2 linked regions of the Tamandua tetradactyla genome follow. The protein of the gene in region 1 interacts with the protein of each later gene in a pairwise test. Links are inferred from orthologs where the notes say so. Each region holds a gene or a part of one and is shown on either strand. Other genes may lie near its edges. The genes, in order: FST and TXN.

What was found.
Region 2: the proteins of FST (region 1) and TXN interact in binary tests that used the Homo sapiens proteins (3 or more experiments, as listed by UniProt). The link is inferred for Tamandua tetradactyla from reciprocal best matches to the Homo sapiens genes FST and TXN.

The regions. Positions count from the first base shown.
Region 1 is NC_135335.1:99,584,992-99,594,922, reverse strand, and holds the start of FST (follistatin), read right to left. Parts: upstream 4,526-9,931; 5' UTR 4,509-4,525; coding exon 4,424-4,508; intron 2,546-4,423; coding exon 2,354-2,545; intron 1,903-2,353; coding exon 1,684-1,902; intron 1,345-1,683; coding exon 1,120-1,344; intron 456-1,119; coding exon 225-455; intron 1-224. UniProt on the Homo sapiens protein: Multifunctional regulatory protein whose primary function is to antagonize members of the transforming growth factor beta (TGF-beta) superfamily including activin, myostatin, GDF11 or bone morphogenetic proteins (BMPs).
Region 2 is NC_135328.1:29,238,593-29,248,055, forward strand, and holds the start of TXN (thioredoxin), read right to left. Parts: upstream 4,160-9,463; 5' UTR 4,038-4,159; coding exon 4,014-4,037; intron 1-4,013. UniProt on the Homo sapiens protein: Participates in various redox reactions through the reversible oxidation of its active center dithiol to a disulfide and catalyzes dithiol-disulfide exchange reactions.

The sequences.
Region 1 (9,931 bases):
ATAGGTTTTTAGAGGCAACCCATTGCTGATCTCTGAACTAGTCCTAAAACCCAGGAAACATCCCAGGGAATTTTTCTATGGATCACTGAATTGCTGGTGAATTTAGTAGCCACCTAATTTAAGTAGAAACAGTATCATGAGGTTTGCGTGCTTTTTAAGTCTCTACTCCCTAGAGTTTGCCTGGGAAAGCCTCTAATTGCAGCAAGGTTAAAAAGTGCACTTACAGTTGCAAGATCCGGAGTGCTTTACTTCTAGCAGCACACCTGAGGAACAGGCAGCTTCCTTCATGGCACACTCACTGGCATAAGTAGCATTGTCACTGGCACAGACAGGCTCGTCAGACTTACTCTCAGGGCACAGCTCATCACAGAGGGAACACCGGCCTCTGCCAACTTTGAAATCCCATAAACATTTTTTTCCACCAGTGCACTGAATGTCTTCACAGGACTTTGCTTCTAGGATATAATACATTTGTAATGAGTAAATGGATTTTCCCTTTCTCCAGTCCTCTATCAATAAATATAAACACAGTTTATAACTTATTTCTCAAGAATGGGGATAATGGAGATATTAGGCAAAAATGCTCAGTTATAAAGCTGAAACACCCACACACCCCCACAGCTTCTTACATACTACATTTGTGTATGAAAATAGCAATTTTGGGAACAGCATTTCACACTTCCCTTGAATTAAATAAGTATCTGATTATTTCCCCACAAGTAGGATCTTTTAAAAAAGAAAAGAATTCCACCAGCTATTGGAATCTGATAACAGATTTTAGGAACTGTTAAGTAATTATTTCTCTCTTCTAACAAGTCTAGCACTTGAAAAAAAACTTGTAAAATTGAGTTATAAATTTGCCACGATGGTAAATTATTTGCTGCTTCTTGTAGCATTTGAATATATATGCCAGTGCTTCCACAAGACAGTGATTTCCATGAAGAATGCTGTAGCCAAGAGAGTTTACCCAAACTGGAGAGTTATCTTTCCTTCTGGTGAAACTACACATTTAAGAAGGCTTTGGGCTTTATTTATTGGTTAATGCCACAGTTATAATACTAGAAGTAGCCCTCTTAATCCTTTGTTTTCTCTTTTCTTCCTTCAATCCTGAATACCTACTGATACACTTTCCCTCGTAGGCTAATCCAATCGATCTGCCCAGCAGGCAGGTAGCCTTTCGCAGGTGGCAGGCGCTAGAGTAGGTCACTCCATCGTTCCCACAGAGATACTGCTCAGAGGAGGTAGGCTCTGGGCAAATCCGATTACATGTCACACAGTAGGCATTATTGGTCTGATCTACCACACATGTGGAGCTGCCCGGACAGAAAACATCCCGACAGGTCTCTGAAACAAAGAGGTAATACACATTAATGGGCATATTATCAAGGAAATCATGAAACTAAAGCATCAACTATCAAAAGGCACTCTGCGAGTCCCGTGGCTTAAGAGAATATCTAGGACTCTAGGCTGGTCTTTTCCTTCTTAATGAGTCTTTAGAAATTAGAAAGCGGTTCCTCTATTGACTATCACTATTATTATTACTATCATCATCATTATTATTATAAGGCTCTTAGCGAGGACTATGCCATCCTTGAGGGTGAAAGCTGGAGCCAGAGTTGGTCCTTCTGGGTGCGTGTGTATGGGGTGGGGGTAGTGTTTTTGCTCAAGAAGGGTAGAACCTACTTTTACATTTGCCCTGATACTGGACTTCCAGTTCCGGCTGCTCTTTACATCTGGCCTTGAGGAGTGCACATTCGTTACGGTAGGTTTTCCCGTCCAGCCCGCAGACGGGGCCCTTCCAGGTGATGTTGGAACAATCCGGGGCACAGACGCAACGGGGTTTGTTCTTCTTGTTCATTCGGCACTTTTTCCCGGGTCCACAGTCTACGTTCTCACACGTTTCTGTGAGTTGGAAAGAGGCACGAGTGAGAACCACGGCGGGGCAGGCTGCAGGTCAGCCAGGAGGGCTGCGGGTGCCTCGTGGAAAGGTGCAGAGTTCATGCTCTGGGGTGGGGGTTGCGGAATGGGGCAGGTTTTCTCCTAGAAACCCTGGAGAGGGTGAAGGAATGGACTGTGCGCTTCGCCCTGGATGCTCAAATCTCTCTCAAAGAGGGCGGGCAGGCTGGCTTCAGCAGCACACTTGGCTAAGAAGTTAGGACATCTCTGCCTATCCTGTTTTGCATATAGTGTCTAACAGACTGGGTGCGACCCAAACGGATTAGCAGCGCTGGGGGACAGAAAGGGGGCCCACCAACAAAGCTCTTCTGGTCTCAAACCCCAGCCGGGCAGCAGGGAAGCTGAGGGTAAGACGCCCTCTACTGAGGGCCTGCAAGCTGGAGAGAAAAAGTCCTACCTTTACAGGGGATGCAGTTGGGGGCGCCCCCATTGAAAATCATCCACTTGAAGAGTGTGTTGTCATTCACATCCTCCTCAGTCCACGAGGTGCTCAGGCGGCCGGTGTTGCAGCACTCCTCCTTGCTCAGCTCCGTCTTGTACAGGACCTGGCAGCGGCCGTTTTTCGCCTGGCGGAGCCAGCAATTCCCAGCTGCGAAAAGACAGGGGTGGGGAGGTGGGTGAGTGTGCGGCGGGGTAGGGGGAAGGAGGCGGCGAGCGTGCGACGGAAGGAGCACCGGTGGCAATGGGGAGGGAGTAAGCGTGGAGGAAGGGAAGAGAGGAAGAGACCAGGGAGAAAAGCAGAAAATAAATCGAAGGGGGTAGGAAATGGGAAAAGCGAGGGAAAAAGGCCCAGATCTGAGAAGTGGGAGGTGGGCGAGGGGGAGGGAGGGCGAGGGCGAGCAGCCAGAGCGCCCCAGCCATATCAATGTCAGTTACCAGTGACCCAGACACAACACGTGCAGCTTGCATTGACTTTTACTAGACTGTTTACTTTTATTCGTCCCATTTCATAACCTGCAGCGACTCGAAGAGCAGATTAAAGAACCTGACAAAAACAGGATGCGACGGATGTTTTTACATGTTGGTTTCATGTGGGCGGTACGGGTATTATTTGTGACAGAGGTTAGGAAAGTAAGAGAACTTGAGAGAGGCAGACACCGACACGCGCAGGAGCAGATAAGCAAAAGGAACACGTAAGAAATGAAAGCAAAAAAAAAAAAAAAAAAAAAAAAGCAACCGGGCCTGGCTGGGAGCTGCCCCGCACGGCCCCGAGGCGCAGCCTGCCCGACGGGCCGTTTTGCAATCGCCAGACCCAGAGGACGCCCAGGGCCACCGCGATCTTTCGAAATCTCCGAGGGCTGCCTTCCCCCGGCGCCCAAGTCTCTGCATCCGGGCAGTGCCTTGCCCCGAAAGGCGGGCAACTGAGCGTGGAGCCATGCAGACGGCTAGGGGCAGTGCCCAGGAGGGCAGTTTACAACACATGTAAAATATTAACGGCAAACCAGGGAAAGTTACACGTTCTGTCTCAGAAAAAGTGTAGAGGGGAGAAAAGAGAAGGGGGTGGGAGAAGCTTCCGAGCATTTCACAGTTACATGTGCCTGTCTCATACCTACCAAGAAATCTTTGCAATTTCTACCCTCCCACCTCCCCTTTCTAATATTCGGATTTTGATCAGGAAAACCTCTCACCAATATGACTCGTTCAATCATCGGACCCGCAAGCTATTATTTTTATTTTTTGAAAAAAATCTGCCCAAAGACTCATTGAAATAACAGACCTAATTGCAAAAGTCAAACTTTAGAAACTTGCTCTTGATCCACCTCAGAATTTAAATCGGTTGTGGGCTCCTCAATGTTCTACAGAAAGTTAACAGTCAGAGGAAGGAGGCAAAGGTGGGGGGGTGGGGAAGGAAGCTACTCCTAAAACACTCCGGGTTAATAGTTTGGGTTATTTATTTATTTAGCAAGGTGGGTGGTGGGTGATGGGTGGTGGGTGGTGGGTGGGAGAGGGTTGGAAGAAGCATCCACTAGGCAGAAAGCTACTTCCCGTTCAGCACCCACATTTCCAAGTTTGGGAAAAGTTTCTGAAACCACGTCCCCCAACCACCGAAGGAAAACTCAGTATCCTTCTTTCCCCTAGTAATTTTTTTGAAGTATCCGAAAGATGTGGGAGGGAGAATTGTTAGACTGCGAATGGGTCGACCAAAATCTTCAGGCTACTGATGCTTGTCCCTTTCTTGAGGGCCATAAGGGGAGATAACATCTAAAACTTGGAGCATCTAACCCTAACTACTGAGACTCCCGCTCACTCCCTTTCCTTTTTAAGGATAACCGAACTCCCAACTCCTCTTCCAGACCTAAAGTGTCACTGCCTTCAGTTTTCCCACTCTCTCCATCCCGGAGTCTTTAAGTCGGTCCAACATCTTCAGTGAGCAGCGTTGCTGAGAACAGACCAAGTGGAGACGACAGAAAAGTACAAACTCATGCCCTCAGCCGAGCCTCCCCAAGCGCGCATCCCCCTCGCTTACCCTGGGCGCTACGGTCCTCCATGAACTGGCAGAGCAGCAGCAGCAGGAGGCAGAGCCCGCCGGGTTGGTGCCTCGGACGGACCATCGTGGGGCAGGCGCCGGGCGAGGAGCGCGGCGGCGCGAGGAGCGGGCGCAGCGGCGGGTGGCTCGGACAAGCGGCGCGCGTCGCAGAGGCGAGCGGCGGAGGGCGCAGCGATCCCGGCGCAGCCCCGCGCTCGCCGCCGGCCGCCCGCGCGATTCAATGGACGTCAGAAGCCGGGCGCAGCCGCGCTTTAAATCTAGACGGGGGTCTCCGCGGTTTGCGGTGGGCGGTCTCCCAGTGTGTGGGGCTGTGGGAGGGCGGCCGCGAGCGAGGGTGTGCGCGGCTCCTTGGGGGTGGGGAGCTTTTAAAAGTTCAGTGTGAATCAGGTGACATTTCCCACCTTCTGGAAACCCTTCCCAATTATCTGTTGGAGGTGCCCGAAATCAAAGCGGCAGGAGGGGAATCGCTGAGTTCTTATTTGCGTAGGAGCGAGAGGGAGGGGGAAGGCGCCGGGGCGGGGGTGGGGGTGGGGGGGCTATGCTTCGGGGGTGGGGAGTGGGGAAGAACACACACTTCAAGTCTTGCACGCTGCCGCTCGCAGGCAACGCCGGCGCGCCCAGGGTGGCGAGTGTGTGTGTGTGTGTGTGTGTGCGTGCGTGTGCGTGTGTGTGAGTGAGGGCGCGGTGGGGGCGCTGGAGGAAGAAGCTACGGGCGGAGCGGGGGGAACCCGGGAGTTGGTCTCCTCACGACGGTTCCTCCGCCCCAGGAAGACTTTGCAAACGCCCAGAGAGACCCAAGCTGCTAAAATAGCCCGCTCGGGGTCGGGACGGAACGCGCCGGCCTCGCGCCTCCGGCGGGGCGCGCTGCTGGGTTAGGCCCCCGCAGCCTTAGGCGCGGGACCCGGTGAGGTTTTGTGTCTGGGTCTGTGCGTGCCTTACTTTGCGGCCAGCCCCGGCCCAGAGTTGTTGCTAAGAACCCCGGCCCCGGCACCTTCCACCCTGGCTAAGCGGTCCACTGACACGGCCCTTCGTCTCGACGAGTCAGAAGCAAACAAAAATGTTTAACACCTCAGGCCCGGCCCCCCACCCCCAGCCCGTCACAGTCGCGCCCTCTCCCTTTCTTTTCTCCCCTTTCACTTCACGGCGTCTGGAATTGGAGCCCCGAGCGGGGGCGCCGACGTAGGCGGTCTGCCCCTCCTCCCCAGCTCAGAGACTCCCCAGTTTCTGTCCTGCGTCTCTGTCTGTCTCTCCCAGTCTCTTTCTCGGCTCTTGGCTCTCCCGCTCTCGCTCTCTCTCTCTCGCTCGCTCTCTCGGTTCGTGGAATAAAAAAGATTGCAACATCGATAATGAACTTCTGTAGCCTCAGTTTGTTAAGCACAGTGCCTGGCATTCTTTGCTGAAAGTTGGCGGGTTTCTCATTTATAACATTTTTGGCACCGCTGAATGAAACTGAGGAGGCGATATTTCCTTTTATATAAAACGATTACTTCACGGAAAATGCTATATTGTTTATTCCAAATCTGCCTTTTAAATTGCTATTCTTTTCGCTTCTGAAACCCTAAGGACAACAGACAGCGAAGTATGCAGACAAAATTCTTGGACATTCGCAGGTCACTGGGATTTGCTCTACGAATTTCAAATCCGCCCCTCTTCGCCCACCTCAACAACACCCCCTCGCCAGCGCCCCCCCCGCGCCACCACAGTCCTCCTCTCGCCCTCCCACCCCCCGTCTACATTAACCCCCCTCTCACCCCCTCCACAACTGCAAATAACTCAGTGATAACAGATTTTTTTCCACCAACTGCAGGAGATAGTGCTAATCTTTTAATAAAAGATCCCATTACAATGGGATCTGTCTGGACAGACTATAATAGATCCCGAAATACAGCCGTGCTAATATTAGAAGACAGTTGTTTGGGTGCCTCTCAGACGGGCCCAAGCCCCGCTTTGAAAGTGGGCATGAATCACAAAGCCCAGCGGCCGCCGCACCTGCACCGCGCGCATTCGGTGCAGCAGGCTGGTAAAAACGGGTGACCTCGTCGCTGCTTTTCGCTTTATAATTACCGTCGTGAGGACGGCAGGGGAGGGGCTTGGGCGGCCTGGGGGAGGCTGGCCTTTTGCCCACTTCAGACGGCTCTGGGGGCTCCACATCCTTCTTAATCTTTCCAGATTCATTCTCTCTCTCGTCTTCTCCCTCTTTCCCTCCCGTCCGCCCGCCCCTTCCCCTCTTCTCTCTTTCCCTCCCTCTTTCCCGGCTCTGCCCCTACTCTCACCCCCTCCCCTTTCTCCCACCCCTCTTTCTTTTCCCGTCTCCCTTTCTCTCTTCCCTCCAAATGCAGCCTTAATGTAGAGTTGTTTAGTGCCCTCTAATGGCAGACATTAACAATTAATAGCAAACTGTCCCCTTTGCAGGAGCCGCCACTCAATGGCAGAGTTCCAAAGCTGAATTTTCTTCTTTATTCAGAGAGATGGATATAGTTCTTATACAGTAATGTGCTGGGGGTGGGGTGGGGGAAGGAAGTTTCTCCTCTTCGAGGCTTTTTTTGGGGGGGGGAAAGCTTAGTTGAGGGAAAGAGGAAAGCTAACATTTTTTGTTACTTGACTTTTTTTTTTCCTGTAGAAATTAGTTTTCAGTAGCAGCAAGGAATGCATCTTCTGTTTTAACCAGGAATATCAAGCCGTGCATCTAGAGTTAGAAAGTAAACCTAAATACATAAGTAACCTTAGCTGGTAGAGGTTGGAATCTTATGGAGGGGCTACCAATGGCCATTAAAAAACTTAATACCAGAACAAATTTACATGAGTTTATATTTGCCCCTGTTTAAATACATTTACTAGTCCTGAATCTTCCTGTCCCCTCTTGGTAGTTAGTATCGTTTCCTTAGACTTTTCATGCTTGTGCTATCCAAAATGTGTAAATTTTAGTAATGCTCTGTCCTGTATGACATCACCTTGCCTAGAGGAATGTAGTCACATTTTAATCCACAGTTTATTTTCTTAATACTAGTGGGAATATTACTTTTGAAGAAGGCAGAACCATACTTTTCTTACATTTTCTAACCCTCTAACAATGAAAAGTGACATAAAATATATGTCCTTATTTTATTTATAGCTTGTTCATTTACATATGTACATATGATATATTTAAATAAATAGGAGTGTACAGATATGCAAAAAATATTATCTTGGGAGAGGATGCAGGGCTAAATGAAAAAAGAATAGAAACTTTTTTTGGCTAATAAAAAAGGTATTTTTCTGGATCTTTGAATAATAAATAATATTTGGTTTATCCAGACAATTAATATCAGCTTATGTATATAGAAGTAATTGGCATCATACAAATTTTCTAAACACAAGAATCTGACCCTGCAATTCCAGTATGATTGTGTAAAAAGTGTAAATTCAGTCTCTCTCTCTCTCTTTTTTTTTTTTGTCTATATAATGCCAAATACTTTGTTTGACCAGTAATTTGACTAAATCGACTGCTTTGACTAGTTGTTTTGGCATCATGTAATTGTCTTGGCTAGGCCCAAGCAGACACAGTAGGCCTCATTGTAAAAAAGTGCCACCGCTCGTATGAGTTTTGCAGACCCGAGGCAGACCTAACACGGGATTTACTTCTCACCCCAGAGAGGGTAGCCATAGAGGTCAGGGTTGAGGTCACTGGCAAACACACTGTGCAAAATACAAATGCTGTGTTGCTTTTGCCCTTGTGAATAAGCAGCCTGGTGTTTGTTTAATGATACAAGCTCATCCTGTTTTTCAGTTGCACCTTGGATAGTATTGATCTGTTTGGGAGAATGTCTGCTCCAAATCTGCACAGATCATTCACTGGGACTCTTGTCCTCCCAGATTACCTTCTGGCCATATCCAAGGAAATGAGACACAGGTCAATACTGGTTCCATATGGGTCTCCTGTGGGCATCAGCAAGAGATCCATCCAATTTCAGCATTACGAGATGGTATCACACCTGTTCAATGACCTCACAGAAAAACAGCTGCTGTTTCTTTTGCTGTTTTATCTTCTGTAAATGTTAAATATTGTGTTTGTAGATATTCGAATGTCAGGAGGACATTTTAAAATAAAAATGCCGTCTTTCATTTTTGTTGTATGTCTCCAAGTTAGACTTCTTATTTTTCTTTCTGCTTTGCCAAAAAAGTAAATGTAAATTATGAGAAACACAATGGGACCACTTTGTAACTGTATTTCTGGGCAGCGCACAAAAAAGACTGCTGTTCTCTGATTGTCTTTTGTCAGCTTCAAAAGATATCTTCCTTTTGAAGTTTATAAATTTAAAATATTAGAGTTTAGCAAATGATTCAATCTAGCTCCCGAGATAGTTACTTGAAATCATATGAATCTGTTGTTTGAGACTAGAAATGATTTGGATAAATTCAGTCCCTCAAAAGAGAATATGGAAGGAGTGGGATGAAGTTGTGTATGGAAAATTTGAAAGCGATGCACTGAGCAACTTTTATCTTTTGCTTTAAATTAAATGACAAACTTTTTTGAAGTTAGGTGTTTTACAAAATGAATATTCAGTTTTCAATGCAAATAACTAATCTTGATTAAGGAACAGAATTTAAGCATTTGAAAACAGGCTGCAATTATGTTAAAATCAGATTTTGTTCTTCTAGGTACAAAAACAGCTACTTAATGCGTCATGGTCTTTGAAATTGTGCAATTTTGTAGTGCTAGGATGAGGATTTGAGGTGGAGTGGGGAATAACAGTTCTGTGTTGGCTGAATTGTTGCAGAACTAAAAAGTTAAGAAATTTGAGTACATAAAAGCAATATTTATTCAGATGTCCAAACCACCAGTTTTCTTTTTCACAAAAGTTATTGAAATATAAGTTTTCTGTACAGTACTGAAAAAACAATGAACTAATTGACTTTTTGTCTTTTCAATGTTGCTTTGGTATTATGTAGATCCAATCAGAGAGTCCTTTCTTTTCATACTACCTATTTCTGGGTAACATTTTAATTGCCTTACTCCCATCTCCAATTTTAGATATATTTTGGATTTCTAGAGTCATCTATCTGTGCTACGTACTCACTTAAAGCAGCACTATCATCATATTCAAGTTTTTCATAATGAGGTAATTAAAAAAAATAGTAAAGAATTCAAATTTGCCTCAGAATAGGAATTTTATGTTGAATTAATAGGAACTTCTAAATATTTTACTGTATTTTAGGTCCATTTGACCAAACAAATGATTTATTTATCTAGATATGTCTGAAAATATCAGTGTGTGAGCTTTAGCAGTTTGAACCCTGATGCCATTTACACTTTCTACTGCTTGGAAGTGTAAGGAGGGTGTTTGTTGTTCTGTTAGTTCACTACGATTAAAGCGGTGAGTTGGTCAGAGTAAGCGCTACTGTTCCTGTTTCATTGGCTGGCTGATGGTCAGTCAGTTTGCTGCAGATTCTTTTGTATATTTGGAGTTCTGCAGCCTCATTTTCCCTTTCCACAGGGTAGCAGTTATT
Region 2 (9,463 bases), on another chromosome or scaffold:
GTGGCAAGAAAAAGAAAAGCAGATGCTAAGTTTTATTTCTAAAAGCCCTGGAAACTTGATAGGACAAAAAGCACAACTTGTAGTTTTTAACTTTCAGAACCCCTCTCTTAGACAAAGAAAACAAAAACAAATAAACCCCCCAAAAAACTAGGCTGAAGGAGTCCTGTACATTTGTTGGTAGTGTTCCTTGATAAGATGAAAGAAGATATAATGTATATATAATGCATCAACACACGTGCTCATGAACATATTTCTTAAAATACTGTTATTGTCTAATATACATCCAAGCTATGTGAAGAAAGAAAAATAAAAATAAGACTTTGTATTAAAATGTTTCCACATAAGTCTAGGCATACTGTAAACATTTACTAAATGCTACTGATGGATCATCAAAGGGGTCACTTCAATTAAAGTCACAAAGGCATGGAATTTTACAGATGAAACATCAAAAAGTTACCTTAAAAAAAAAAAAGCTAATGCTTCTGATTAAACTAGTATCATCTATGGTAGAAAATGTGAAAAGCTCAAAAGTCAAGGATAATAACCTCCTCCAAATCCCAACACACTCAGGCAACTCCTGACAGTACAGTTCCTTGTACTCTTTTTTTTTCCTATCGGTATCTAGACAGTTTATATCGTTTATCAGTCTTTGATTTCTGTCCTTTATCTCAAAACTCTGTACTCATGGTTGATTAAATGAACAATGGTTTTAGCTCCCATGAAGGAATATTATTTTGCACAAGGAATGCATGATAAATAAATTCCACCAGCAGAAATGATCAAGAAATCCCTCCCCACCAACTGCGGTGAATTATTTACCAATGGTCTGGCTGCCGTAACCCTAGGAACCTAACCTCATTTTAACCACAAGTCGTTAGTGTTGACTAAGAAACAGGCAATGAGGAAAAATCAAAACATAAATATCTATATCCAAAGTCAAGGCTTCACTGCTGATCACAGTGAATTAAAAACTAGCACTATCCCTCCACCCTGCTGCCTCTCCACTAAGAATCACATCATATCTGGGCCCATGAAGAAGTCAATTAGTACAATACGAAGTGGAAAAATAGTGTGAATGACTCCCATGCAATATGGTGACTCCTCTAGATTCCTAGTTTCTACCTCATGTTTTTGGGGAAACAATTCACAACAAATGTTCCTTCCTGAGACTGGAACGCCATGACTTCTGTAAGCTTGGCAGTTATGCAGGTCCGATTCCTCCTCTAACTCGCATCTTCGGGTGTGGGGTGGAGGGAGTAAGAAGTACAGAAATGTTTTCAAAATCACCACTGATTTGGAAAGATGTATTTCATTCAAAGCCTTCCCTCATGTGACTTTTAGAAGAACAAACTACCAATTCTTAAGGCAGGATCCAGGGGAGACAATCTGGTCAGACAAACATATGTCTTTTTGAACATGACTGGTCCTTAACAAATCACCTTATGAGATTATTTCCAAGAGCTAGAATGTGGTCCAAACACTCATATATTTTCTCCCAAAACATTCTGAATCAAATTCAAGGAAAACCTCTTAAAATTCCAAAAACAATACGTCTTGGCACAGCTACACATGAATTACAGAGTCAGGTATGCATACAAATTCTCTTCTCCCAATGTTTTACCTAAAACAAACATCACTCTGAAAATTATTCTAGATTACTTTATGAAGTATACCACAATTTCTAGCACCCAGAAACTAGCAATAAGGATTCAATAAATGGCCTCATCACTGACACAAATAATTTGAGGACAAAAACAACATAGTTGGCATTAACAAATAAATAGCAGTAAAGTCTGGCATCTCTTTTCCCCAACATAACTGTCCAAAGGTAGTGAGCTCAAAGAGCAACACTTGTCTGTAAAGCATTTTAGCAAGGAGCCTGGTGCATGTAAGATAGAGGAAGTTCAATTAATAGTAACTACTATCCTTTCTTCCTAAAAATACCTTTGTACTGACTCCACCCCCCCCCCCCACTTCTAGTTAGTTCAGTATCCCATCCCTAGTGGCCCTGAACTACCAAAAGTACCACAGAAATAGGCAATCTAAGATGTATTCAATATTTACAAATCAAATTACAGTGCAACTCATTTGATCAATGACTCTGGGCCATAATTCTGAATGTCAACTGACACTGAGTGTCTGGAGCCCTGGTTGTCAGGCTTCAAGTAACCACCTTCCTTTCACCCTGTCCACTCTCTCACTGTAGGGAGAAGGACATCACAATCAGGGCAGCTAGAAGAGTCTAAGACTGAAAAATGGCTGCTCCAGAAATCAAAATCAGTTTTGTTTCTAGTGCGTACTCTGCTCGAGGTCTCTCTCTGGCCTGCTTGTTTAATGGGTTTTCACCTGCTAAATTCTACCATGGGGTTGCAGGCCCTGGAGAGAAGAGACTGGCATGCACTAAGTGTCGAACGAAACTAGGAAGAATCTCGTTTTTCGACCAATTCAGTGGGTTACTAGTTTTAATATAAAAACTCGTACAATTTTAGAAGTCCAGTTACTACTAATCAAAGATAAAATGAGATTGAGACTGTTTGTCTTTACCATGGATTTGGACAAAATTAATAGGTTTGAAAAAGTCAGCACTGATGAGGTGGGAATGAAAGGAGCACTGTCATAATACTGGCACCACTTACATTCATGCCCCTTGACCAAACGATTGCACTTGAGATTTTAACGTTTTAAGAAAATAAAAAACCTGCTGAACACTGTACAAAGCTTTATGGGAAAAAAAAAGTTTTCACTGAAACGTTGAAAACTGCCCAGATGTTCAGTAATGTGTTCAGACACTGAAATGATTACCAAGAACTTTTAATTACAAGAAAAGTGTTCAGGCTAAATGGGGGGACGGGGCAGGACGGGGCGGGTAGAGAAAGCCCTAAACAAAACAAGTATATGTAAAATAATCTCAATTACTTTGGGCCCCTCCCAAATTTCCTACAACGATCACATTTGGTTCCTGATCATAAAAGGAAAAAGAAAAAATACCATTACAGAGACACTTTCGTTTCCAAAGCCCACCTCACCACGAAACAGGCACTAGAGGCCCCCCCTTCTGCTTTTCTCGCGCGTTCAGGCAGTTTTCTTTCTTTCACTCTCCAGACTGTATTTAACAAATATCTGAGTGGCTACCCAGGCCCTGAGCTTTTCAATCAGGAGGGTATTAGGCGTGCAATAAATCCAATACGGGAATAATTTTTGCCTTTGGGCTCTTTTGAAAGGATGACCCACTGCCTGGTACCCGAAGGCGTCGGGTCCCAGGGCGAACCCAATGGCTGGTTTAAGCACCGACCGCCGGGCCCGGGCCTCGCGGACTGAGTCACGCCGAAGCCAGCGCTGCCGGAAACCCGCCCCGCGCCGAGGGAGGAGTCGGGTGGGCGCGGCCCGGACCTCACTTCCCCGCCGCCACCTGGGGCCTCTCGCGCCACCTCTGCCCTGGGGACCTCGGAAAGGGCTCGGGGGACTCCCGGCCAGGTCCACGTACCCAGGGATGTCCCCAGCCGGACCCGTCCTCTAGGCGCGGGCAAAGCCTCGTCATCTTTGGGATCCGACAGTGATGGAGGCAGCCGGAGGTTGGGGGAGCGGGGAGGGGCCACCCACCCCGGGCCTTCTGCACGGGGCCTTCCCTCTCCTGGCCAGGGTTCGAATTCGGATACACATGGGGACAAGGCCTGACCCGCTCTGTGTCCTCACCTTTCCCCGTTTAGTCTCCCAGATGGGGACTGCTGGAGGCGCAGTACAGGGGGGCCCCCGGGCGCACTGGGCAGCCCGGCCCCCTGGTCGTTACCCCCACCGCCCCCGAGCATGGCCCCCTGGTCGCTACCCCCCACCGCCCCCGAGCACACTCTTCCGTCCCCCGCGCGCCCAGGCCCGGCTTCTCGGAGCCACAGGCCGAGCCGCCGCCTCCCCCTTCCCCAGGGATGAGGAGGGCCGGGATCCCCAGCTCCCTCCCATCGCCTTCCCCGGCTGCCGAGGCTTCGCAGCGCGCCTTGCCCTTGCCCGGGAGGCCGTACCTGGCTGCCGATCTGCCGCACCATGTTGGCTGCTGAGCGTCTGGTGACCGACTATAGCATACGCCAACGAAAACCCAAAGAGCGGGACCAAGGCTGGGAATAGAGCGCGCCGCCTGTCCTACCTTTATAGCGCGGTGGGGGGGGGCGGGGCGGGCGGGGGCGCGCCCGGCGTGCGTGGGACGGGGACGCGCCCGCCCAGTCTCTGTCGGCGCAAGGCTCTGCCTCTCGGGACTGGCGAGCGCGGCGTCCGGGAGGAGGCCCGGGCGAGGCCGAGGCGGGGCCGAGGCGGGGCCCAGCTGGGCACCAGGGTCTCCCCTTTCCCTTGCTCCCGAATACCCGCCCTGTCGCCTCGCTGGCTGGGGGTCGTCGGGCAACCTAAAGGGCGTGGTCTCTGCTCCACAGCGTGGGGAGGCGGCCGGCCACTCCCAGGGCCATGATGTCCCTCTTGGGTCACCCGCGAAGGGGTCTACGAGGCCTTGCGCTAACGCCCCCCGGCTCGACAAGGGGACAGTACCGTGTCCTCCCCGCATGGCTGATTTCTCAGAAAGGCCCGCCACGCCCGCGAACCCCACAAAGTGCTGAGTAACGATGACCAGGACGAAACCGCGGAGTGTGGGCCCCTGCCTCCCTTCCGGAATTTACGGCGACAGTTCTCAGTTGCTCTTTTCCCTCCTTCCTGTTCTTTCACTCTCCGAGGAGCCCGCTGCTGGGGCGTGACGCAGTTTGGGCGTTGGAGGTGGCTGAGGGACTGGCAGGGCGGGAGCGTGGCCGTGGTGAACTCTGCAGTTAAGTTAGGCTGTGGGACCCCGGTGGCTCAGCTTTCCTGTCTGTGGATTGGGAATCCAGCTAGTCTCTATGCCGTGGTGGTGGTGGTGTTGTAAGGAGTTTTTTAGGGTGCTTATAAGATGATCAGCAGAGCTTGGCAAGAGAGTAAGGGCTCAATAAATACTAATAATAGCTATTTCTTGTGAATACTAATTAGGCTTGCTTAGTGTTATGGAAGGTCTGGTTGAGCTTGGTGACGTTACAATTTGCAAATTTGTACTGGCACCATTGTACGCATTTGTGTATTTTTTCTACCGGTGGTGAGAAGCCTGGAACGGAGGAGTTAGATATTTGAGTTGACACAGGGATGCATTGCACATACTTGGCATGTCGGCTCTGTCAGGACAGGAAAGTGTGAAAGGTGAATATGTTAGGTGGAATTGTGAAGCCAGGAGGGCCTGTCAGGAGCTAGAAGGAGAGGGGCGCTGGAGAAGCTGAGAAGCTGAAGGCTGAGTCGGGGGAGGAGGGAGAGCTCTCCCAGCCTGCATTTTCAGAGTCCATCAGCTCTGGGTGAAGCTGGATCTCGGTGTGAAACAGCTCCCTGGCTCACCCTCCACCCTACCACCCTCCCCTGGCTTCCCTCTCTAAACTCTTTCAGACAGAGGAAGGAAGAACCTGGGGTTTTGAACCTATTGTGCAAAGTTTCCAGGGGATTGAAGAGCACCAAGCCATGGGTAAGGATATAGACAAGAGGTCAATTTAAGAAGGGAGATGGACTGCCCTGAATGTAGCAGCCTTCCCAGAGTAAGGAGCATTGGGGCAAAGTGGGGTTGGTTGTGTGTGTGTGTGTGTGTGTGTGTGTGTGTGTTATGTGTTACTGGAATAATATTTAACTTGCTTATTTGCTGCTGTGTCTCAAGCCCAGCCTACACCCCTGGTTCTGGACCTAATAGTTGGTGCGTTTACATGGCAGACAACACAGATAATTAAGCTATAGGGAGGGAAGGCGCACATTTTCAGTGGGTGCCCAGGCTGCTCTCTGCTGACATTTCCCTCTCCTCTTCAAGGAACTTCCAAACGTCCAATGACTCAGTCACAGGAGGGACCAACCCACTCCCAACTTCCCCAGGATCAATATAGATGGATGTGGAGAATGTTACATTTTTAGAAAACCAGGAATCAGGAAGCTAATGTGTATGTAACAATCACCAACTCTGCATTTAGACTGCCTGGTTCTTGTCCACACTCTGTAACAGGGTAACTCTAGGCAAGTCTAGGAAGACTTTCTGTGCCTCAATTTCCTTATCTGTAAAATGGGGGTAATAATGCCTTGTGCTCTTGTAAGAGTTGAATGAGGTACAACAGATGTAAAGTGCTGAGAACTGTGCCTGGCACAAACTAAGTGCTATACGAACTGTGAATGGAACCAAATGAAACTCAGTTTCCCACATTACTGTAGGCAGGAACTTTGCTTCTTAGGGCCAAGGCCATCCCACTTTTCCCCCATCCTCTGGGGGAAAAAAAGGCCTTTTTCTTTAAGACTCATATAATAGAGCTGACTGCTTATTACTGATTTTGTGACTTACCTAAGTCTCTGGCTGGTTTACCATATGCTTTTCCATCCTAGCTTTTCCCTCATTCCAAAGGGATTTCACCCTTTCATTCAATTCCACTCACAGTTTGTATAGCACTTAGTACCTCGTTCAAACGGTGACATAAATGCATTCATTTGGGGGATTGGCTCTGTGTATTAGAACTCTCAGCTGCAAGGAAAAAGTACAGCTCAAATTGATTTAAACTGAAAAGACAATTACTAACTCATATTTCCAGTAACTCCAGGGGTTTAAAGGTGTTATTCTCAGGCAGTTTCTCCCCACCTTGTTGAAGATGGACCACCAGCAGCTCCAGGCTTAGGTACCTACTAGTTTAGCATCCCTGCAGGCAGAGCATCTCTATCCCTTGTTCTTGTAAACATCCTGGAAGCTGACTTTCTTTGGGCTTGAACCTGGAGTTGAGAGGTAGGGGAGCAGGGCGGGGAAAAGGAGTATCAGACTTCCTTGAACCACCTTGACAAAGAGTGTGGAAAATCCAGGGGTTACCAGAAAAGCCACAAATGGATCATGGGCAGGCAAAACCAATATTTCCATGTCATCAAGAAGTGCAGAAACCAGTAATATGGAGGAATCAGCTTGCTTCAGATTTCTGGGTCAGCTCAGTCTGAGTCTCCATGTGGGACTGGAGAACTAGGTGCTGTCTTTCTTAGGGTCCCAACTTGGATTTGGGGGGAAATGCAGCACAAAGGTCTCTGAAGCAAGCTTTTATTTTATAGATTTCTCAAAGTGTGGTTTTGAACGCCTAATTTGGTATAGTAATACTGCAGATTCCTCGACCACATACAGACAGACCTATGGAACCACAGTCTTTTGGGCTAAAGCTCTGGAATCTGCATTTTAAAAAGCATTCTATTCCAAGTAATTACTCACACCAAGATTTGATTAACTCTGCTCTGGGCTTTTCCAGAGAGAGGCCAGCATTAAATAAGTTTGAAGAATGTGTCTGGCAAGGGAGTTGAAAGAAGGGTAAAAGGAAATATGGTAAGTGACAAAAAAACAGGGAGCTCAAGGTACTATGTTAAAGAAGGTAGGAGGAAAATAAGAGAACACTTAAGGACAATATTAGGTGCCTGCCATGCCCAGTGTTGGGTGTGTCCCATCATTTCTTAGGAAATAAGTATTCTTTCCCTAGATGAGAGAAGAGGAAACAGGTTCAAAGAGGCCACGTGGACACACCAAAAGACTCGCCCCATTCTTATACCTCATTCATGAAGAAGAGGAGGGAAAGTGCCAACACAGTTTTTGAGCCCATACACATATCATGAATACTCATTGCACCACTGAAAACTATCTAGCGTCTCTTATGCTAATTTATAAACTCTAACTATAGGGATATTTGACTAGTTTGTAGTCTCTTTGCTCCTAGACCTCAAGGAGAAGGCAGTTTTGATTAGCTTCCCTACTGCCATTCCCCTGTATTCCTTTGCTGCCAGTGCTTGGATTTGGTTCTAGTTTCAACAGCAACTCAGGGCTAAAATCCAATTAATCTAAACCGATCATCATCCCATTTCCCCTGCCAGGCATGATTTAGGAAAATCAGGTGACTCGATCCTTGCCAATAATAAGACTTGAGAAGGTGGCTAGACTTCTGGGAAAGGTCTCCTCACTTACAAAAATACACATGAAAGGAAGCCTCCTCCTTCTGCTGGAAAAGGTCATGTCTGGTTGTGATGCCTGGGACTGGACAGCCTGTTTGTAACCATGAGGTAAACTAGGACAAACACAGCACGGTGGTGAGATGGAAGGAACCTGAGTCCACGACGATGTTTCAGTGAAATACCGAATCTTGGAGCCTCTCTAACTGAAGACTTACTGTAATGTGAGATAATATAATTCCCTAACTGCTTACACCATTTTATGTGGCTGTTGTAAGAAATTTGGCATTGGCTGAGTGGAAGGAGCTAAGGCGGGGGATGCAGTGAGGATTAACTTGACGAAATTCTGTAGGATGTTGGAATACAGAGGAATCTGATGACCCAACAGGGAACTAAACTCCATTGGAAAGTCCTGTGTCTCACCTCTTAACCAAACAGTGTGTCATGTGATCCCATGGGAGCACCGCTGACCAGTGTGGTGACCACTAGCCACAAGTGCCTGTGAAACACTTGAAACATGGCTAGTGTGACAGAGAAACTGGATTTTAAATTTTATTCAATGTTTATTAATTTTAACTGAAAAAAACCTATGCTAGATTCAGTTACTGCAAAACTTTGAAGTATGTTTGAAACAACGCTGATATGTGAATCTCTTTTTAACTATAAACTTTATGGAATCTAAGCACAGATCATGTATTTCCAATGAAAATTTAGCATCCAAATTGCGACCTACTGCAAAGTCTGTAATACACACCAGGTTTTGAAGGTTTCGGAGGAAAGCAAGCAATGTGAAGTATCTCACTGACGTTTTTATATCAATTGTATGTTGAAATGATAATACTTTGGAAAGGTTAGGTTAAATAAAATCTATTATTTAAATGAATTTCACATTTTTTTTTTGTTATCTTTTTAAATGGCTAGTACAAAATTTAAAAGTGTATTTCTTTTGGACAATGCTGGAAGGTCAGTCAGTCCTGGAAGCTCCCTCAAAGGAATACTTGTCAGAGTGCCTTAAAAATTGAATTTTGGGATCGCCCCAGCTTGGAAGACCGTTTGGGGGCCTACCTGTTAATAAATGTCTGTGTGTGCGGCTGTCACTGAACTTACCCGTTGGCGGGGAGATTTTGTGGGATGGGCCCATAGCTCTCACCTACTTGTGAATAATCTATAATTGTAATTTCATCACCCCTCGTATCAGGGTTCTCCAGAGAAACAGAACCAGCAGGATGTACGTGGCTATTTTAGTGCAGATTTATTTTAAGGAACCGGCTCACAGGACTGTGGGGGTTGGCAAGTCTGAAATTTGTAGGCTGGAACCTGAGAGGAGAAGATGGTGTAGTCTTGAGGTAGAATTTTTTTTTTTTCTTTTTTTGAAACCCTCCGTTCTTTGCTCTTAAGACTTCCTACTGGTGAGGCGGCGGCTGTGGGAAATGGCGGCTCGGGGTCGGCGGCGTGGGTCGCGCTAGGCAGGGTTCCC